Astyanax mexicanus: one gene and its partner. The protein of the gene in region 2 interacts with the protein of the main gene of each other region in a pairwise test. Links are inferred from orthologs where the notes say so. Each region holds a gene or a part of one and is shown on either strand. Other genes may lie near its edges. The genes, in order: tmem100a and ccdc57.

Region 1 (9,433 bases), on a different chromosome or scaffold from region 2:
CAGCTGGAAACTAACATTAACAGTCTGTGTGCTGGCATGTCAGTCTGTAAATGTTCTGTAAGCCTTGCCCCAATTCATAAGCCCTTCTTTGAAGTGCACACCTTGGTGGCAAGGTTGAAATGTAAAAAATAAATTTGCCGTTTATTTTTGGAATGCTCATCACTGCCGAGTTAGTAATCAGGTGTGACATGCCTGCTCCTCCGTTGTGACTGAACACAGTTCACATTAGCGTGTAAATCATGATTGTGTTGGCCAGCATAGTCCAGGGGTGGGTTTCCCGAAAACGATCAATCTTAGCGGATAACGAACGAACTAACGAATGACGTGTGTAAAGAACGAGCCAGTTCTGCGAGTGTTTCCCAAAGAGCTTCGCAACGTGAAAATTAACGAACGAGGTTAAAGAACATCTTTGTTGACTCCTCCCCCGAAACAGCGCGCTCAATCGATCCACAAATATCGATTCAACACTGCCAATATGCAGTATTTATTCACTATTACACCCTAAAAACGTAGAAATGTGTTGTAATTAACAACATTATACTCCTAAAGATACATATGACTAAATAAATACTCGAAAATCTAATCTATTTTAAAACATTAAACTTATTTTTTACATTTTTAAAACTATTATTGTTAATATATATTATATAAATATATATTATACTAATATTATTAACAGTAATGTTGATAGTAATATTAATTTATTATTATTCTAATTTTTAATATTATAAAAATAATATAATAATACATATGTTCCTGTGTGTGTGTGTGTGTGTATATATATATATATATATATATATATATATATATATATATATATATATATATATATATATATATATATATATATATATTACATTTTAAACCAACAGAATTATGTTTTGTACTTTATACTGTGAAGCTCCAGCTCAACCTAAATCACCATCTCAGTTGGGTTTATGTCAGGGGATTGTCAAAGCCATGCACCTTTTTGTCTACTAATTCCATTTGCGTCAATTAGTTTTCATGGTTTTAATATTAATCGACAATGTAAAAAAAAAAAAAACATGGAATGAGACGTGTCCAACTTTTGACTGATATTTGCGAGCTGACACACCCCAGAGTTTGCCCAGATGAACTTGGTGACTTTGCAGCTTTGCTTAGACCGTGAGCATCATCTGCAGGAATTGACTGATTGCATTTCTTGCAGCATTAATGTCAAGACTTCTATCATCGCTAATCTGGATTTAAATAATTTACTCGTGGGTTTAATTGCCCAGTTAGACTACAAGCCACAGTTGGCATTATAATATAATATAATATAATATAATATAATATAATATAATATAATATAATATAATATAATATAATATAATATAATATAACTTATTCACTCATTTACTCACTCGTCAACCGCTTTATCCGTTAAGGGGTGCGGGGGGGGGGGGGGGGGGGGTCGATGCTTGGTGGCTGGAGTCTATACCAGCTGGCATCGGGCTGAAGGCAGTATACACCCTGGACAGGATGCCAATCCATCACAGGGCAGACAGACACAGACAGACACACAGACACATTCACTCACACCTAAGGGGCAATTTTTATCCGACATCTAATTAGCCTGAACTAATTTCTTTGGACTGTGGGAGGAAACCGGAGCACCCGCAGACACGGGAAATAATATAATATAATATAATATAATATAATATAATATAATATAATAATTATATAATATAATAATAATTATATAGTAATATAATTGATTATAATTAATAGTAATATAATATAATATAATAATATTAATAATTATATAATAATATAATTGATTATAATTAATAGTAATGTAATATAATTGCTTCAAACACGGAAATTATAATTTTTCTTCCACAAAATTGGCGGTCCCTGGTGTTTAAGGTGCTGAACTGCAAGTCGAGATCCCCTAAAGAAGCTCGTTAAAAATAACGACTGGGTGAGAGCACTCGTTAATCTGCGATCGAGTTTACGTAGTACTTTAGTTACGCACGGGTTTGGGAAACACTCTTTAATTAACGATCAATCTTAAGTACGAGTTAACGAAGTTCTTAGCCTTACGAAGCTTTCGGGAAACCCACCCCAGATCTATTAATTGACTAAATTAGCTAGCCTATTAGCTTACCTGTTCAGGAGAAAAGTTGCCAGCGCTGTGTCGGTCTTGTAGTCTTTTTAAGCTCGAAATCTACTGTACCCTTAGAACTCACTGCCAATATTCACTCTTGTTTAATTCATTCTTTAGTTGCTAAACTTTTTTTACACATGCCAAAGGCTTTCTAGGCTGTGTAGAAGCTAAGGTTTTAGCTGAACTCTGCTTGCTATCTTCCATGATGTAACACCGATTGATGGCTGGCCACCTCAGGGGTGGGGTAAGTGTTGGGGAATGAGCAGCAGGTGGAGTCAGAGGACAAAACAAACAGATACCAGCCAAGATCTGCACAGTCCACATAGGGACATACTGGCTAAAGTGCTGCTGCAAGAGCTGCCAGTGCTTTAACTTAACATGTTTCTTTATTATCTGATGATACATACTGATCATTTTATCATTTACTACAGAAAATTAATTACAAATTGGTCCTTTAAGGTTGTTTTTCATTATCTACATTAAAAGCTGTAATGCAATTATTTGCTGTAAGGGTTAAAGGCCACATATGAAGTTGTATTGAGACAGAGGGTCAGAAGTTTGAAATGATGCTGGGATGAAAAACAACTGTAGCTGCGTGCAAAGCGCAACCGGAGGAGCAGCGACTGGCGCTTCTCGTGCAGAGACTGAAAATGGATCAGAAACTAGTTTTACACCTAAATTAACAAGATTTCACGAGGTCTAATCCACAAATATACTCCGTTTTGAACGTTTTGAAAATGTTTGGAGAGCTATTAAATAACAAATCAAATTGTTATCATATCACAGCACTAAATTTTTTAAGACCTTATTCTCATGTATCCCAGATACATGTTTTAAGTGATATTACTGTATCATTTTGGAGTAATTGGATACCAAACTTAGGAAAAATGTCTATTCGGTTTTGTATAAAAAAGATTTCGGAGTGCTATAAAACCAAAAAAATCAAATTGTTATTAAATCAAAACATGACATCCTTAAAGAATACCTTCCATACTATTAATGTCATGCATTTCAAGTGATTGTATTGTATTATTTTGGAGTAGTTGGATACCAAACTTAGGAAAAATGTCTATTTGCTTTTGCTTTTTTTTTTTTTTTACTTTTGATTTCGGTGTCCTATAAAACCAGCAAACCAAATTGTTATCCAGTGCCACCAAGACAGTCTTAAAGAACACATTCCATACTATTAATGACATAAGTAAGAAATTATATTACTGTTTTATGCTGGAGTAATTGGATACCAAACTTAGGAAAAATGTCTATTCGGTTGTGCATAAACCACATTTCAGAGTCCTGTAAAACCACCAAATCAAATTCTTATCCATTGCCACCAAGACAGTCTTGAAGAACACATTCTATACTTTCAAGGACTTGAGTAACAAGTGATATTACCGTATAATTTTGGAGTAATGGGATACAAACTTAGAAAAAATGTCTATGTTCTTTTACATAAACCAGATTTCAGAATCCTGTAAAACCAGCAAATCAAATTGTGACCAAATGCCACTAAGACAGTCTTGAAGAACACATTCAACATTATTAAAGACAAGAGTAACAAGTAATTTCACTGTATCCTTTTGAAGTAATTGGATACCAAACTTAAAAAAAATGTCTATTCGGTTGTGCATAAACCACATTTCAGAGTCCTATAAAACCAGCAAATCAAATTGTTATCCAATGCCACTAATAATATCTTGAAAAATACATTCTATACTATTATTGACACAAGTATCAAGTGATATTACTGTATTATGTTTAAGTAATTAAATACCAAATATAGGAAAAATGTTGATTTACTTTTGCATAAACCAGATTTCAGAGTCCTATAAAGCCAGCAAATCAAAATTGTTATCTAATGCCACTAATAAGGTCTTAAAATACATTCTATACTATTATTGACACAAGTATCAAGTGATATTACTGTATCATTTTGGAGTAATTGAATACCAAACTTAGGAAAAATGTCTATTCGGTTGTGCATAAACCACATTTCAGAGTCCTATAAAACCAGCAAATCAAATTGTTATCCAATGGCACCAAGACAGTCTTGAAGAACACATTCCATACTATTAATAAAATGAGTAACAAAGAATATTACTGTATCATTTTGGAGTAATTAAATACCAAATATAGGAAAAATGTTGATTTACTTTTGCATAAACCAGATTTTAGAGTCCTATTAAACCAGCAAATCAAAATTGTTATCCAATGCCACTAATAAGGTCTTAAAAATACATTGTATACTATTATTGACACAAGTATCAAGTGATATTACTGTATCATTTTGGAGTAATTGAATACCAAACTTAGGAAAAATGTCTATTCGGTTGTGCATAAACCACATTTCAGAGTCCTATAAAACCAGCGAATCAAATTGTTATCCAATGGCACCAAGACAGTTTTGAAGAACCCATTCCATATCAGTAATGACATGAGTAACTATTGATATTACTGTAAAATTTTGGAGTAATTGGATACCAAACTTAGAAAAAATGTCTATTCGGTTGTGCATAAACCACATTTCAGAGTCCTATAAAACCAGCAAACCAAATTGTTATCCAATGGCACCAAGACAGTCCTAAAGAACACATTCCATACTATTAATGACATGAGTACCGAGTGATATTACTGTATCTTTTTGGAGTAATTGAATACCAAACTTAGGAAAAATGTCTGTTCGGTGTGCATAAACCAGATTTCCGAGTCCTATAAAACTAGTAAATCAAATTATCCAATTAATCCAAAATGATACAGTAATATCCTTTGTTACTCACGTCACTAATAGTATGTAATGTGTTCTTCAAGAATGTCTCAGTGGCATTGGATAACAATTTGATTTGCTGGTTTTATGGGACTCCGAAATCTGGTGTATATCACCAGGGGTGTAGCAGCAAATGCTGGGCCCTGTACACTCTCAATGTCAGTGGGCCCCTATCCATGCCAGTATACAAGGAAGGTGAGCGAAAAAAAAAAATCTGGATTTTCATGGGCCCTTCTCCCTACTCGGGCCCTGGGTAGTCAGGTCCACTTTTCCCCCCACTACCACACCCATGTATATCACTTCAAACATGTATCTGGGATACATGAGAATAAGATCTCTAAGAATTTATTGCTGTGATATGATAACAATTCGATTTGCTTATTTAATAGCTCTCCAAACATTTCCAAAACGTTACACTGTTCTACAGATAAGCAGTGGTCTTTCTGGAGTATATTTGTGGATTAGACCTCGTTAAATCATGTTTATTTAGGTGTAAAACTAGTTTCTGATCCATGTTCAGTCTCTGCACGAGAAGCGCCAGTCGCTGCTCCTCCGGGTGCGCTGTGCACGCGGCAACCGTAAAACACGGTTTAGACGCGCACTCCAGTTTTCGGTGTAGATAGCGCGACCGAGCGTTTTCTAAGTGCAGATGGCGTGACCGCGGTCTTTTTTTTTATTCTACTACAACCTCTTACACCCCCGACACACTCTCTTTCACTCTCTCTGTCTCTCTCTCTCTCTCTCTCTCTCTCTCTCTCTCTCTCTCTCTCTCTCTCACCCACACCGTTCTCTCACACACTCCTTCCCTCCCTCACACACTTACTAAGACACACTAGCCCTCCCTCCCTCCCTCTCTCCCCCCTCTCTCCCTCTCTCTCTCTTTCTTTCTCTTTATGAGGGGACTTCAAGTTTCTCCACAGTTCAGTTCAGAAGTAAGTGAAGATCAGGATGGAGACTTCCTGAGAGGAGCTGAAAACGCTGAGCAGGTAAATGACACACACACACACACACATTGGAACCAACACTCTCTTAGGAGTCTGTTACCCACCTCTGTCCTCTCGCTCGCGGTTCCGTTTGTTAGAAGTTGTTTTCTTGAGCTCTGTAACCGGTGTTCTGTCGATTTGTGCTACCCTGTCAAACTGTGCTACCCTAGTGTATATTTAAAGGTAAAAATCCCAGAAAAGCACCATATTTTAAAAGAATTAATTAATATATAAGGATACAGTTAAAAGGGAATAGGCGTGATTATATTTTGTATTTGTATTACATTGCTCGATTATTACTTGTTATTATTATTATTATTATTATTATTATTATTATTTACTGCCATTTACACTCCATTCTACAAAAAAAAATACATAATGACAGAGGAGGGATTAAGGTTGTTGAATATGCACCACCTAAAATTCAGTAGAACTACCACAAAACATGGGAATATAAAATACATTTGGGTCCGCGCATGCGCACTTGTTTTGAGAAGCCCATTTCGACGTGTAGCACATGTCGACACCCGGTACCGAATAAACACCGCTATGCAGGTCTGTAGACGCTCTGATCTACAGAAATGTAGGTCGTAAATTGGGGTGACCAAAACTCAGCGTCAGGGACATATCTAATACTAACGTTTAAATAATTATGTCAAGGTAAGATAGTAGTCATGGTGACTAAAATTCAACGTCGGCCAAACGTCTGCTAATGATTGTAGCGCAAAAATCATTGATGATTGTTGTCTGTTTGGAAAATATGGTTTTTAGTAAACTAAGTTTGCATTTTGATATCAATCCTGTGTTGGAGGACAAAAATATGACAAAAATCTTCAAAACATCTCACGCGTCATTCAGTGTCATATTGATGTAAAATATCAACATTTAGGCTGTTCTTATTTCATTAGGTATGCTGACTACCTGTAACTGTAGCAAATGTAATGTAAAAAACGTTAAAATACCTAAATTAAATATCTACAGTCTAACTTTGGAGCTTGATGTCTGACGGATATGTGACTTTTATTCTAACTAAAATTCAAAATGATATTGTCATATCATAATATTGAGTTTTGCACTCAGCTTGATTTATTTTTTATTGCAAATTGATATCCTGGGTCCACACAACACCAAAAACACGACACGCAAATGTTTGCAGACATCTTTTCTAAAAACAGATAAACATTGAACTATGCCTAATGCCAGGCATGGGTATAAAATGAAAAGGGTTTTAGTGCACTTATGTTCTCTGGAATGATGGTGCTTCATCCAGAATTAAGATGAGTCCTGACCTTGCTAATGCTCTTGTCACTGAATGCAATCAAATCATCACAGCAAAGTTTAAGAATCTAGTAGAAAAGCTTCCCTGGGCAGACTTTTACTCAAACAAAAGCAGGATAAACTCTTTTTTAACACCATTGGTTTTGGAAAAACAATTGTAAACAAATGTTCCAATACTTTTATCTGTGTTGTTAATTTTATTTTCAGTTTATTATATGTAATAGATCATATTATGACACAGATGATTTCACATTATGATAGTAATTTTAATTTTGGTGTTATTATAAGCCTGTATTGTGTCTTTTTATTGTAAAAAAATCTGTTTTATACTTCATGATATGGCAGGATCACTGTTACTGTTGTGCAAGTGTTGAATTGTTTGCATCCTATACATGAGCGTTGAGTTGTCTTCCGCTTTTGGTTGATTTAATATTCGATTTAAGATTGAAAATCGCCCAGATTGCTCTGATAGGCTCTCATACTGCAGTGTATAGGTTCTGGGAAAGCGTGCACTTACCCCCATGGTTTTCATGCATATTGATAGTGGCTCCCTGATGGCTACAAATCAGGATATTGTATATCTGCTTGTGCATAGTGAGTGAGTGACGGATGTAGAGTGTGACTGGGGTGTATCTATGCCTCTTGACACGATGTATCGCAATGGAAAAATATGACAAAGCCAGAGCAATAGTGGACGAGAGGCAGTGGAAAGGGAGCAGAGAGAGAGTGGGGAGGAGGTGAAGATGGAGAGGCAGTGAAGAGGGAGAGGGAGCAGAGAGGAAGCAGAGATGGAGAGAAATTGGAGAGGGAGCGCAGCGGGAGCAGAGAGGGAGAGGGAGCAGAGAGGAAGCAGAGAGATAGAGGAATTGGAGAGGGAGCTTAGCGGGAGCAGAGGGAGAGGGAGCGGAGAGGGAGCAGAGAGGGGGAGAGAATGGAGAGGGAGCGAAAGGGGGACGGAGCAGAGAGGGGAAGGAGGCAGAGAGGGGAAGGGAGCAGAGAGGGCGAGGGAGCAGAGAGGGAATGGAGAGGGAGCGGGGAGCAGAGAGGGAGAGGAGGCGGAGCGGGGAGCAGAGAGGGAGAGGGTGAGAGCGATTGGAACGGGAGTGGGAGCAGAAAGGGAGAGGGAGCAGAGAGGGGGAGAGAATGGAGAGGGAGCGAAAGGGGGACGGAGCAGAGAGGGGAAGGAGGCAGAGAGGGGAAGGGAGCAGAGAGGGCGAGGGAGCAGAGAGGGAATGGAGAGGGAGCGGGGAGCAGAGAGGGAGAGGAGGCGGAGCGGGGAGCAGAGAGGGAGAGGGTGAGAGCGATTGGAACGGGAGTGGGAGCAGAAAGGGAGCGGGAGCTGAGAGTGATAGAGAGTGGAGAAGGATTGAAATAGAGAGATTGTAGAGGGAAAGGGGAGCAGAGAGGGAGCAAAGCGGAACGGAGAGGGGGCAGAGAGGGAATGGAGAGGAAGCGGGGAGCAGAGAGGAAGCAGAGAGGGAGAGGAGGCGGAGCGGGGAGCAGAGTGAGAGGTGAGAGTGGGTGCTGAGAGTGATAGAGAGTGGAGAAGGAGTGGAATAGACCAGAGAAGGAAATGGAGCAGAGTCGGAGCAGAGAGGAAATGGAGTTGGGAGAAAAGAGCAAGAGGAGAGGAAATGGAGAAGGAGAGGAAGCGGGATGCAGAGAAGGAGCAAAGAGGCAGAGGTAGCAGAGAGGAAATTAAGAGGAATCGGAGAGGGAGTTTACTCGGAGCAGAGGAAGAGGGAGTGGACAGCAACAGGGAGCAGAGATGGAGCAAAAGTGGAGAGGAAGCTGAGCTGGAGAAGAGAGAGGGAGCAGAGCGAGAGCAGAAACAGAATGGAGAGGGAGTGAGGAGCAGAGAGGGAGAGGGAGCAGAGAGGCAATGGAGAGGAAGCAGAGTGGGAGCGGTGAGGGAGTGGACAGGATGAAGGAGTAAAGATGGAGTGGGAACAGAGATGGAGAGGGAGCAAAGTGGAAATGTGGAAAGTGAATAGAGAGTGTGGGGAGCAGAGAGAAAGTGGAGAGAGAGCAGAGAGGGAGTTCACTGGGAGTGGAGAGAAAGAGGGAGTGGACAGCAAAAGGGAGCAGAGATGAAGCAGAAGTGGAGAGGGAGCGCTGAGGCAGAGGAAACGGAGAGGGAGCGAGGAGCAGAGAAGAAGCGGACAGGGAATGGAGAGGGAGTGAGGAGCGGCAAGGAAGCAGAAAGGGAGAGGCATCAGAGAAGGAGTGTAAAGGGAGCAGAGAGGAAATTGAGAGGCAGCAGGGAGCAGAGAGGGAGAG
Region 2 (9,560 bases):
GATAAAAAGGAATTGTACACTATTTTATCGGCAATTTTCTATACTTAATTTTCCCAACTTTGTGGGATTTGGGGTTGTAAATAAATTAATTACAGTCTATCGAACAAAAGAAACAGTATAAATTAAAGATTAAGTACAAGGAATGTTTAAAACTGTATGTATTTACAGGCCAAAAACAGAAAAAAGTTTAAGTGGCAAGTGTGCATTTTAAATCCACTAGGCTGAGCCCACCCTTTAAGAACTTAGTATGTAAAGAAGGGATAAGGTGCTATTTAAAGAGACTACATGGATTACTACGTGTGCAGGGGAAAGATTAAAACGGATTAAAGTCTAGCACCTCGTTTTAGATTTGAAACCACAACTTTGGCCAGTAATCATTCATGGGCCATCAGCGCTATTGTATTTATTACATGTTGAATTGTCTGTGGCACACAGTGTTGCTTGTGTACTGTACAGTATAACGTGTGTCAGTTAGGTATACTGTAAAGAACTGTCTGTGGCTAAGCTGTCCTTGAGTGAGCATGAGAACACATAATATGTCCATTGTTATTGTGTTTTAAATGTAGGTGTATGTCCTGTTTGTCTCAGTTAATCCAGATTTGTGTAACAGGTACTCTGTCTGGGGTAGATGAGAGTGAAGCACAGATAGTACTGTTTTTTTTTTTTTTTTTTTTGAGAGATAAGTATGATTTTAAACATGGGATCATATTCACACAGATGAATGTATACCTTATAGCAATGTTTCCAAGAGCAAACCTTGGAGTATTGGGGTGTTTAATGTGTTCACCCCTCTCAACACACATGATTTAACTCATTAGTTGTCCAGCAATTTATGAGCTAAATCAGGTGTGTTACTACAGAAAAAAACGAACCAGGGTTTTGAGGGCCGGGAACATGAAACACTGGTCATACCTCTACACCTCTAGAGCATAGAGAGCTTACGGTATTTTTGTGATGTATTAGCTACAGATAGCTGTTTAAAAAAAAGTCACCTTTGGTACTGGTACCAGCATTTTTATTGATGTGTGATTGACTGTGTGGATGTGATAAACTGTTAGTTTTATTTTATTGCACATTACTTATTTCATTTTTTTTCTGTACCAACTTAAATAACTTTGGGACATCAGTTATGGCAGCTGTGTAGTTATCTTCTTCAAAGTGTAGTATTTAAACATGACATGATTTGTAGTTAATTTTGTTGTTAGTTGAAGATGTCATCCGTTATACACTATATATCTATTTGTTTGTGGACAACAAATTCTTATGAATGCATTCAGCTACTTTAAGCTGCACACATTGCTGACACAGAGGTGCAAATGCACTCATACACAACTTGTCTAGACCATGTAGAGAAGTACTGCCAATAGATTTTAACTTTCAGATAACTTGAATCTGCTGGCGCTATGCCTAATGCCCACCACCCTTCTGTTCTCTGGAGTAGTGGTGCTTTAACCAGTACTAAGGTGAGGGTGGGGACAATCCAATTTCCTGACCTCACTAATGCTTGTGTCACTGAATGCAATCAAATCCTCACAGCAGTGTTCCAAAATCTAGTGGAATGCCTTTTCTGAGCAGTACAGACAGCTACAAACAAAAACCAGCAAAAGGCAGATAATAAGATAAGATTTCAGAAGAAACAATAAGGGTGTCCCAAAACGTTTGTTCTTATAGTGCATTTGTCACTCTTCAAGACAACTCTGCACTAAAGGTATGTTAAATACTTGGTATTTTTCAGAGTTTTTTTGTATCAGCCAAGAGACATTTCACTGGTCACCAGTATGTTTGGTGTGACTTTTATTTGCTAACCAGCAGAGTGTACATGGTGTTCTTTGTGTATGCTTTAAAAAATGCGATTGGCTGTGCCTTACACCTGGATTATTTTACACAAAACCTATAGATTGGAGTTTATTTTAGAAATAAATATACTTCTGCATTCACTTGTGGACATCTTATTTTTACATTTCTGTGTAGCTTTATACATGCTCTATTTACATCTGGCACCCTGAGTGGCAAGGATGTTTACAAGTAAAAGTCAAGTCTCATGTCCTTCCAGTTGTAATGAACTATCTATTGTCAGTTGCTCTACAGACTGCTAAGAATATTGCAAAGCTGTATCTTTAAGAATAAAAAAATCAAAGCATTAACTGTGTTATAAACAACATGGAGCATAAATGAGAATGTTATTTATAGTAATAAGGTCTGAGTGATAATGCTGATAATTCTATGTGTAGAAAATCTAATATAATCAAATTTTTATTTCTGATTACAAAGAGGGTAACTTTGCAGTCATCGCTTCTTTATTTGGTGCTTTCGTGTTTAAAATTCTTATATCTAAACATATTACAATAGATACAGCAGCAGCTGCAGGTTGCAGTAATGTTTTCCAGGGTGAGAATTATACAATGACAATTGGGTGATGTTTTTTTTTTCAGGGTGTAAACCAGTAAAACACAGTTGTACAATCCTTACAGCATCTTTCTTGCTTACTATAATGTCTACAGTACACAAATGAAAAACCCATTACACCAGCTAATGCAGCACATATCACATAATATCATTAATAGTCTGGGGTCCAAAACAACATATTATACAGCAAATTTAAAAGCTAGCCAAAACACACAATGCTCTTGTTACCATACACAATCTAGAGCTGTACCTGTTAACGTTTAAGGCATAGGCCACCCAACAATCTAAATCTGAGGGTCTTGAAAGTGTTAGACAGTAAACAGTTTTGCTTTTATTTTCACATGTTGCAATGTTAAGATTTTATTTGCAAGTTAATTTTTGTGTAAATATTGTTTAAAATCCAATATTCACAAATTTACTGTAAAGCCTTTAAATGTATTTTGGTGTATTTTGTAATTTTGAAAATGGCCTTAGTTTTTTTTCAGTGGTATTATAAAGACTTAAAAAGTCTTACATTTAACTTCCTTATACCTGCAGAGTGCTCATGTATGAGTAGGTAATTTCTTACTACTAAGCCACAAAGTTTTTAGTTTCATAACATTTTTATCCCACCTTAATATGGCATACGTGTTACACTGAGTCTGTACTAATCTTAAGTGCTTTAAGAGTTTATTTCTGCTTATGTTGTGCAAAGATTTCTGTCCACACAAAACTACACCTGTATTCTTATATGAATGTTCTGTTTCACCTTAAAAGCTAAATATGTTAAATTTAAAGCCTGAGCGACGCCACAGCAGTATTTAAGGTGGAATCGTAAATTCAAACAATCAAAATCTTCACGTGAGGACAAAAATGGTGTTTGAAAGGACTAGATAGCAGCTACTTACTCTTAAGTGCAGATACTGCCTTAATGAAGACCCAGAGCAGGACTTTTCTCTCGTTTGTCTCAGTTTCTCTGTGGTGTTTATGTTGCTAGTATGTTACGTGCAGAGCGCGCGGTGGACTATAGGCTGAGAAATTGGCTGTGTCCCTAATAGCGTGCCTCTTTAAATCGCGCGCCCTTATAAAACTCTCGCCCAATTGCACTGCGTGTTGTTGACATCACCAGAGGGTAGACTCTTTAGGTGAACAGCAGCAAGCGGAGGTGATTTGGGACGGAAACTAATCGTTAAAAAAGATGGTGGATGCTACCTAGACATGTACTTGAGTAAACGTTCAAGTGCTCTTTGTTCTATCTTCACTGTTGAAGATTCAAATACAATTTAAATAAGATTTTAATCACTGTTTAAAATATTTTTGCAGTGCTCTGTGCCCTTTAGAGGGGTTCGGTCTTCTCATAGATTCAAGAACAGTTTTTTAAAAAGTTGTTTGAATTTTTTTTAAAGATTTAAATATTTGGTAGTGATTAGAATCAGTGTTCAAAATGATTTTATCTCCAGTAGAAGCAAAGTATAGTTTGAATCAGGTTTTTAAACATGATCTGGAGCTATTGAAAAGAGATGAGTATTCTGAAAAGCAGTTCAAATCTTTTGCAAATGTGATTCAGGTCTTTTTAAAGTAGTACAAATCATTAAAAAAGAAGATTCCTATATTTTGTAAAGTAGTCAGTTTAAGTTTTTTTTGTTTTTGACAGACACTGTTTGACAAGTGTTTTTTTTTTCCTTTCTTTCAACAGAAAAACTTTTAGTTGAAAAATGATGCCACCTACAGGTATGATTGAAAGTTTACTTCTCCATCCATCGACACGAATTTTATTGCACTATTTAAGCTTTTAATTATTAATAGAACTATGTTTTTCTTGGTATGAAAGAATGATTGTTTTTTAGCAGGGTTGTTGATATAAACAAAAAATAATCTGGATAAGATTCAATTGTTAAAAGACGATTAAACAAATTTATTAGAAGTGCTGTATATTTACTTTTGTATATTTATGAAGAAAATGGATGGTGTTGTTTTCATTGTAAAAACTCAGATTTAACAAGTCAAAACAGCTGAATAAAACACTTCAAATGGACTCTTGAACTCATATTCCAAATTACCTGAATTCACCACTAGAGGGCAGACAGGGCACAGGTTTACCTTCAGAAAAGTATAATTTCTCCATAAGTATAATTTATAATTTATATAAGTTCATCTAATATCTTATCCCAAAGCAATAATGCCCACAAACTTTACTAGCAATTCCAAATTATATTTAACTAGATTATTTTTCCCCCGCCACACGTACAAGAACAACAAATCTATGGTGCAGCTTTATGGGGAAAAAGAAATTAAATAAAATAAAACCCAAAGACATCCGTTAATACAAGTATTTCATTTATTTACACATGTACACAAAAAGGTGCACAAATACAGTGATACAAATTCTAGTAGGGCTCATAGATTGGCATGACTTCACAAGACCAATAGTGTGGAGCCCAAAATGGCCATGGGCTTCAAAGACCTGCGTGACGCTATTCACCGATTCCGGCCTGAGACATCTGCTCTCTTCAGATGTAACGGGTACATTAGAAGGAAGTATGAGCAAGGCCCATACGCATCAGACATCTCAATGCAAGGACACTGATCAAAAAGCAGCTCCCTCCAATCCACCGTTATTAATTAGGATGTCAAAGTGGCGAAACAATAAGAGCAGCTCAGATCAGAACACTTTCCCTGAGAAGCTTGATGCATAGAACCCAGAATTACCTTTTGGGTACATCTGTTGAGCCACATCAGTGCTGGAACATTCTTTAGACAGGATTCCCTCCTCACCTTTCACACTGCTGGACTGCTTTGAGGCAGCATCATCTCACTAAAGACAACCTCAGCATGGGTTGACTTTAGTCAAAAAAGCATCTACAAACAATCAAGCTGAAACTTGCATGTTCCTTCCCCTGCCCTTCTGAAACCTCCAATATGCTCCTTTCAAGTTTTAAAATCAGGCTTTAGATTTATACTTGGCAATCCTTCTGATGTCCAGCACTTTATTTTATTGGCATTGTGCAAAATAAGAAAACCCCTAATGCTCCAGGACAGTTTGTGATTTGTGGCTAGTTCATAGTCTCTATTAAGTGAAAATGAAAAACATTTACATGGATATATTACAATTTTCACAGCTTGGAAATAGAAAAAAGTGATACAACAAGGGAGAGGCAGTAATATACAGCAGTTAAGAAAGCTAGACAGGATGGTGAGCTTCACATGGTCCTGCAGAACACATGATGCAGTGACGGATTAGTTTCATAACTAAGAAACAATGAGATTTTGGCCCCTTAGCGGTCTGTCCATACGAAAACACCAGTAAGACCATGCAATAGGAACCCATTTTATACCACCCACCAGTTAAAGAAAGGGCTATCAAAATATAATAAAATAATTATAATTGGTCAGATAAAATTATAACAAGCCCAGATATGGAACATGTTATAAGAAAGGAACTTTGAAATGGGAAAGCTTAAAAAATACAGTACAACAAAAAGGAATCAGTTAAACAAGTTAAATACATTAGCTTAGGGAAAAACCCTTAAAACACGTAATGGACGGAAAAGGTTATGAAAAGCAGTGCAGATGTACAGACAACATACTAGTATGAAGAAAGACAACAGTGTCGAGGACACTGGAGTTTGGCTGGCTGATGCAGTCTCTGCTGGGTCTGTCTATAAACATTTCCTTTGATAGAAGTGATCACAAATCTGTGTGTGTGTGTGTGTACATAGTGTATTTACCAGAGTGAAAACAGAGAGAGCAAAGACAGGAGAAGAGAAGAGAAGAGAAGAGAGAGAGAGCAAGGAGACCTTTAAAGAGGTCAAGTTGGTTCTGAACCATTTTGGTTATGTCGATTGAAGAGAGACTGATAGCCCTGCTTATCCGCTTTTGAACAGCAGAGCCATCAATCAGCCGCGTACAGATGGGTTGACCACTGCACTCCGTATTGCAGAGTGGAGGCTTCTGGGACATGAAGAGTGAATCTTAAACAAGAAAAACAGAATCCAAAAATCACACATTCTGTGCATTTCCAGGATCACAATTAAAGAACGGTATGATTTGATTGCAATAAAATGCAAACAGAAATCTGAGATATGTAATGTGTAAAACTCACCAGGTGCTGCTGCCATCACACAAGCACATTGCGAGCAGCTACTTGCCGTGATGATCGAAGGGAATGCTATTCTGAGGTGAAGAAAGAGAACATTATAGCACCCTTTCTCGTTCCATGACTGATTTGTAGGTGGGCGGTTCGTCAGAGAAGAGTTGTGTAATAGTGAAAAGCATTCTGTATATGTATTACTGTATACAAATGACATCTGGTGTGTGTACAGCAATGGATTATGACTAATTCTGACATCAGATATAATCTGATACACAATTCCTATGTTTGCAACAAAGATGCCTATAAAGCAAAATTTGTCCAACAAATGATTGACATTTACTAAAATATGCAGTGATATCAAACACTGCTGTGACAAATTCTGGCACATTTGTTATAATTATTATAAAGTGCAATAAAAAAAAGAGCATTCTTGCATTTCAAAACATTATATACATGATAAGGCATATTTAGACACAGTCAGATGTTAGGTTTCCTTCATTTATTTTCGTTTATTAAGGGTTTTTCTAAATGCTGAAGCCTTTAGACAGGCCTTGTGCGTGTGCCAGGGCCTTCTGTGGGCTTTTCAGGAGCAGGGCTAGCCTGTACCTGTGACGTGGACATGCGGGAGGTGTCTTGTCGGCCGGTCAGGTCAGAAGAGGACACATTAACTGGGGCCCCGCGGTGAAGCCGCATGCTGACTTTACGCTCCCTCTCCATGCCGGTTACAGGTCGCGGTGAGGATGTGTTTGCTGTCAAATAAGAGATTAGAAAAATTAGTAGGTGTAGTACTATACTGCACACACTCACCAACCTGATACCATTGTTTTTTCTCGCCCTTAAACTAAGCTGTTACCAATAAAAAAAATAAAAAAAAACTCCAAATTAACTTTGCTTAATAAACACAATAATGATGTAGGAATTGTAAGAAGCCTAGAATACTGGCATGTTGTCTTGGGTTCTACGAGTTAAACATTAACAGGACGGACGAAGCTAATCGATAATATCAAAATATACCTTTTTCACTTTCAGTATTTAGTCATTGGTTGGCATTCGACTGAGACTGCATACCTCTAATATTACAGATTCAGCAATACAGTTCACAATGCATGGTAAGCGTGAAAAAGTATCTGTGTTTACCTGTGTGTGAGGTTGGAGTAAGGGGCGTTGGGGGTGCACCATCCTGTGTGGCTCGGGGTCTGCCTGAGGCTGATGGAATGCCTCTAGGGGCTGGATTCCTGCTGTGCCTCAACCTTTCCTCCCGGTCTCTCCTCTCTCTTTCAGCCTCCTCTGCTGCACGGTTAGCACCCTTAGTGAGAGAGTTACAACAGACCGTCTTAAAACGCTGTACAGGCACTACTGTACTGAACACAGTTTAATAAATGCTCTGCTCTTCATTCACAAAAAGCAGAAAATGATTATTAGTACAAATTACTTACAAACTTAAGCATGTTCCAATCAAACACATAGTCGTATGAGAAACCCTGTCTGTGGAACAGATTCCTGAAGAGCTGCCTCAGGTACGAGTAGTCAGGCTTGTCATCAAATCGCAGTGAGCGGCAGAAGTTGAGGTATGTGGCAAATTCAGCTGGAGGAAGGCAAACATAAATCACTCAGTGATTTGCACATTTTAACAGCTTTAATACAGAACGTCTTTCTTTTAAACAATGAATAACGCTGCATTCCATTTAACTCGGAAGTTGAATGACAGCTGGAAATTATGTCATTACTGGTTTGTCAATCTTTTACCAGTGTTTTATGACTAATCCAACCACAATATTTTCACATTTTAACGTCACAGATTAGAGATGCCAGTTGATACCATATTACACTAGTATTCTAAGTATTTTGCACATCTAAATATCAAATGAAGCATGGCTCGATAGGTAGCTAGCTGGATTAGAGTCCTTGCTAACCAGTCACGCAATAAAGAGGGTGACCGCATGAGTGGCCACTTACTCAGACAAACTCATCATTAATCTCTCTGAGTGAAGCGTGAGATGGGTGAAAATTAAGTGCTCCAATTGGCCAAAATCGCTTCAATTATGCACAGATGTCTGTGGCTGAGTAGCAGAATAAACCATAGTGAAAACCTGGTGCAAGCTTAATTGAAACTTATTGAAGCGATTTACTTTTACTACTGTTCATATGCAGTGCAGCCATCTTGAATATTGAACCCTGTTAAACTTATAAAGTAGTAGGAATTTTCACTATTGAGGGCATTACAGCTTAAATTTCCGACTGGAAAGTTAAAATGGAATGCAGCATCAGACATGCAGGTTCTAAAGAGCAGCATCAGAGTCAATACATACATGGGTAGCCCTTGCAAAGAACTTCAATAGGAGTAGACATTTTCTTCTCGCTGATGCGTTCGTATTTTTGTCTCTTTGTGGCAGCTTTCAGACCCTGCCATGGCAGTGAGCCCAGGTTAAAATACATTAGCACATAGCCCAAAGACTCCAGGTCGTCACGCCGGGACTGCTCTGTGGACACACACACACACACACATACACACTACTGTAAGGAAGCACATTAGAGGAAAGAGCTCAGAGACCTCTGCTGCAGTACGCATGAGCAGGCAGTCATGTCAAGGGAAGGCAGTATTTGCACATGTGCACACACAGCGGTGCTCCCAATAAGATAAAAATATACACAGGACCACTCAAGCATGGATAGTGATTCCACCTAACTGCATTCAGAGAAGAAATAAAATCCTATCATGAATTTAGGAAATAAAAAAAATGCCAATTTGTTATTTGACTTTATCCATATGGTTATAAGAGAACCAACTTAAAAGCGCTTAACAGTTATAATGCCATATCTGGACTATCAGTGCAAGTTTAAAACAGCTACATTATACAAAATAAAGCACTAGGAATAGGCCGGTCACAATAATTACATTGTCGATTTATTGTACAATAACTGAACATGACCTCAGTAAAACATGATGATCATGATATCGTCTATTGTGTTTATTTTTATTTTTGTTCACATGTATAATAATGAACAGTATTTTTGCCAATTCTGCTTCAAAAAACTGACCAATTCTTTACACACAGTGTCAACTCATTTAATTTTTATTGTC

What was found.
Region 1: the proteins of ccdc57 (region 2) and tmem100a interact in binary tests that used the Homo sapiens proteins (3 or more experiments, as listed by UniProt). The two-hybrid records come from large-scale screens. The link is inferred for Astyanax mexicanus from reciprocal best matches to the Homo sapiens genes CCDC57 and TMEM100.

What each region holds. Positions count from the first base shown.
Region 1 is NC_064410.1:16,763,762-16,773,194, reverse strand, and holds the start of tmem100a (transmembrane protein 100), read left to right. Parts: upstream 1-5,749; 5' UTR 5,750-5,878; intron 5,879-7,941; coding exon of another isoform or gene 7,942-8,451; intron 8,452-9,433. Other genes in the region: octapeptide-repeat protein T2-like, read left to right, coding at 7,942-8,451. UniProt on the Homo sapiens protein: Plays a role during embryonic arterial endothelium differentiation and vascular morphogenesis through the ACVRL1 receptor-dependent signaling pathway upon stimulation by bone morphogenetic proteins, such as GDF2/BMP9 and BMP10.
Region 2 is NC_064422.1:34,932,293-34,941,852, reverse strand, and holds the start of ccdc57 (coiled-coil domain-containing protein 57), read right to left. Parts: upstream 3,398-9,560; 5' UTR 3,294-3,397; intron 1,934-3,293; exon of another isoform or gene 1-1,933. Other genes in the region: csnk1db (casein kinase I), read right to left, coding at 6,526-6,558, 7,085-7,227, 7,616-7,784, 7,915-8,063, 8,788-8,958. UniProt on the Homo sapiens protein: Pleiotropic regulator of centriole duplication, mitosis, and ciliogenesis. Critical interface between centrosome and microtubule-mediated cellular processes. Centriole duplication protein required for recruitment of CEP63, CEP152, and PLK4 to the centrosome.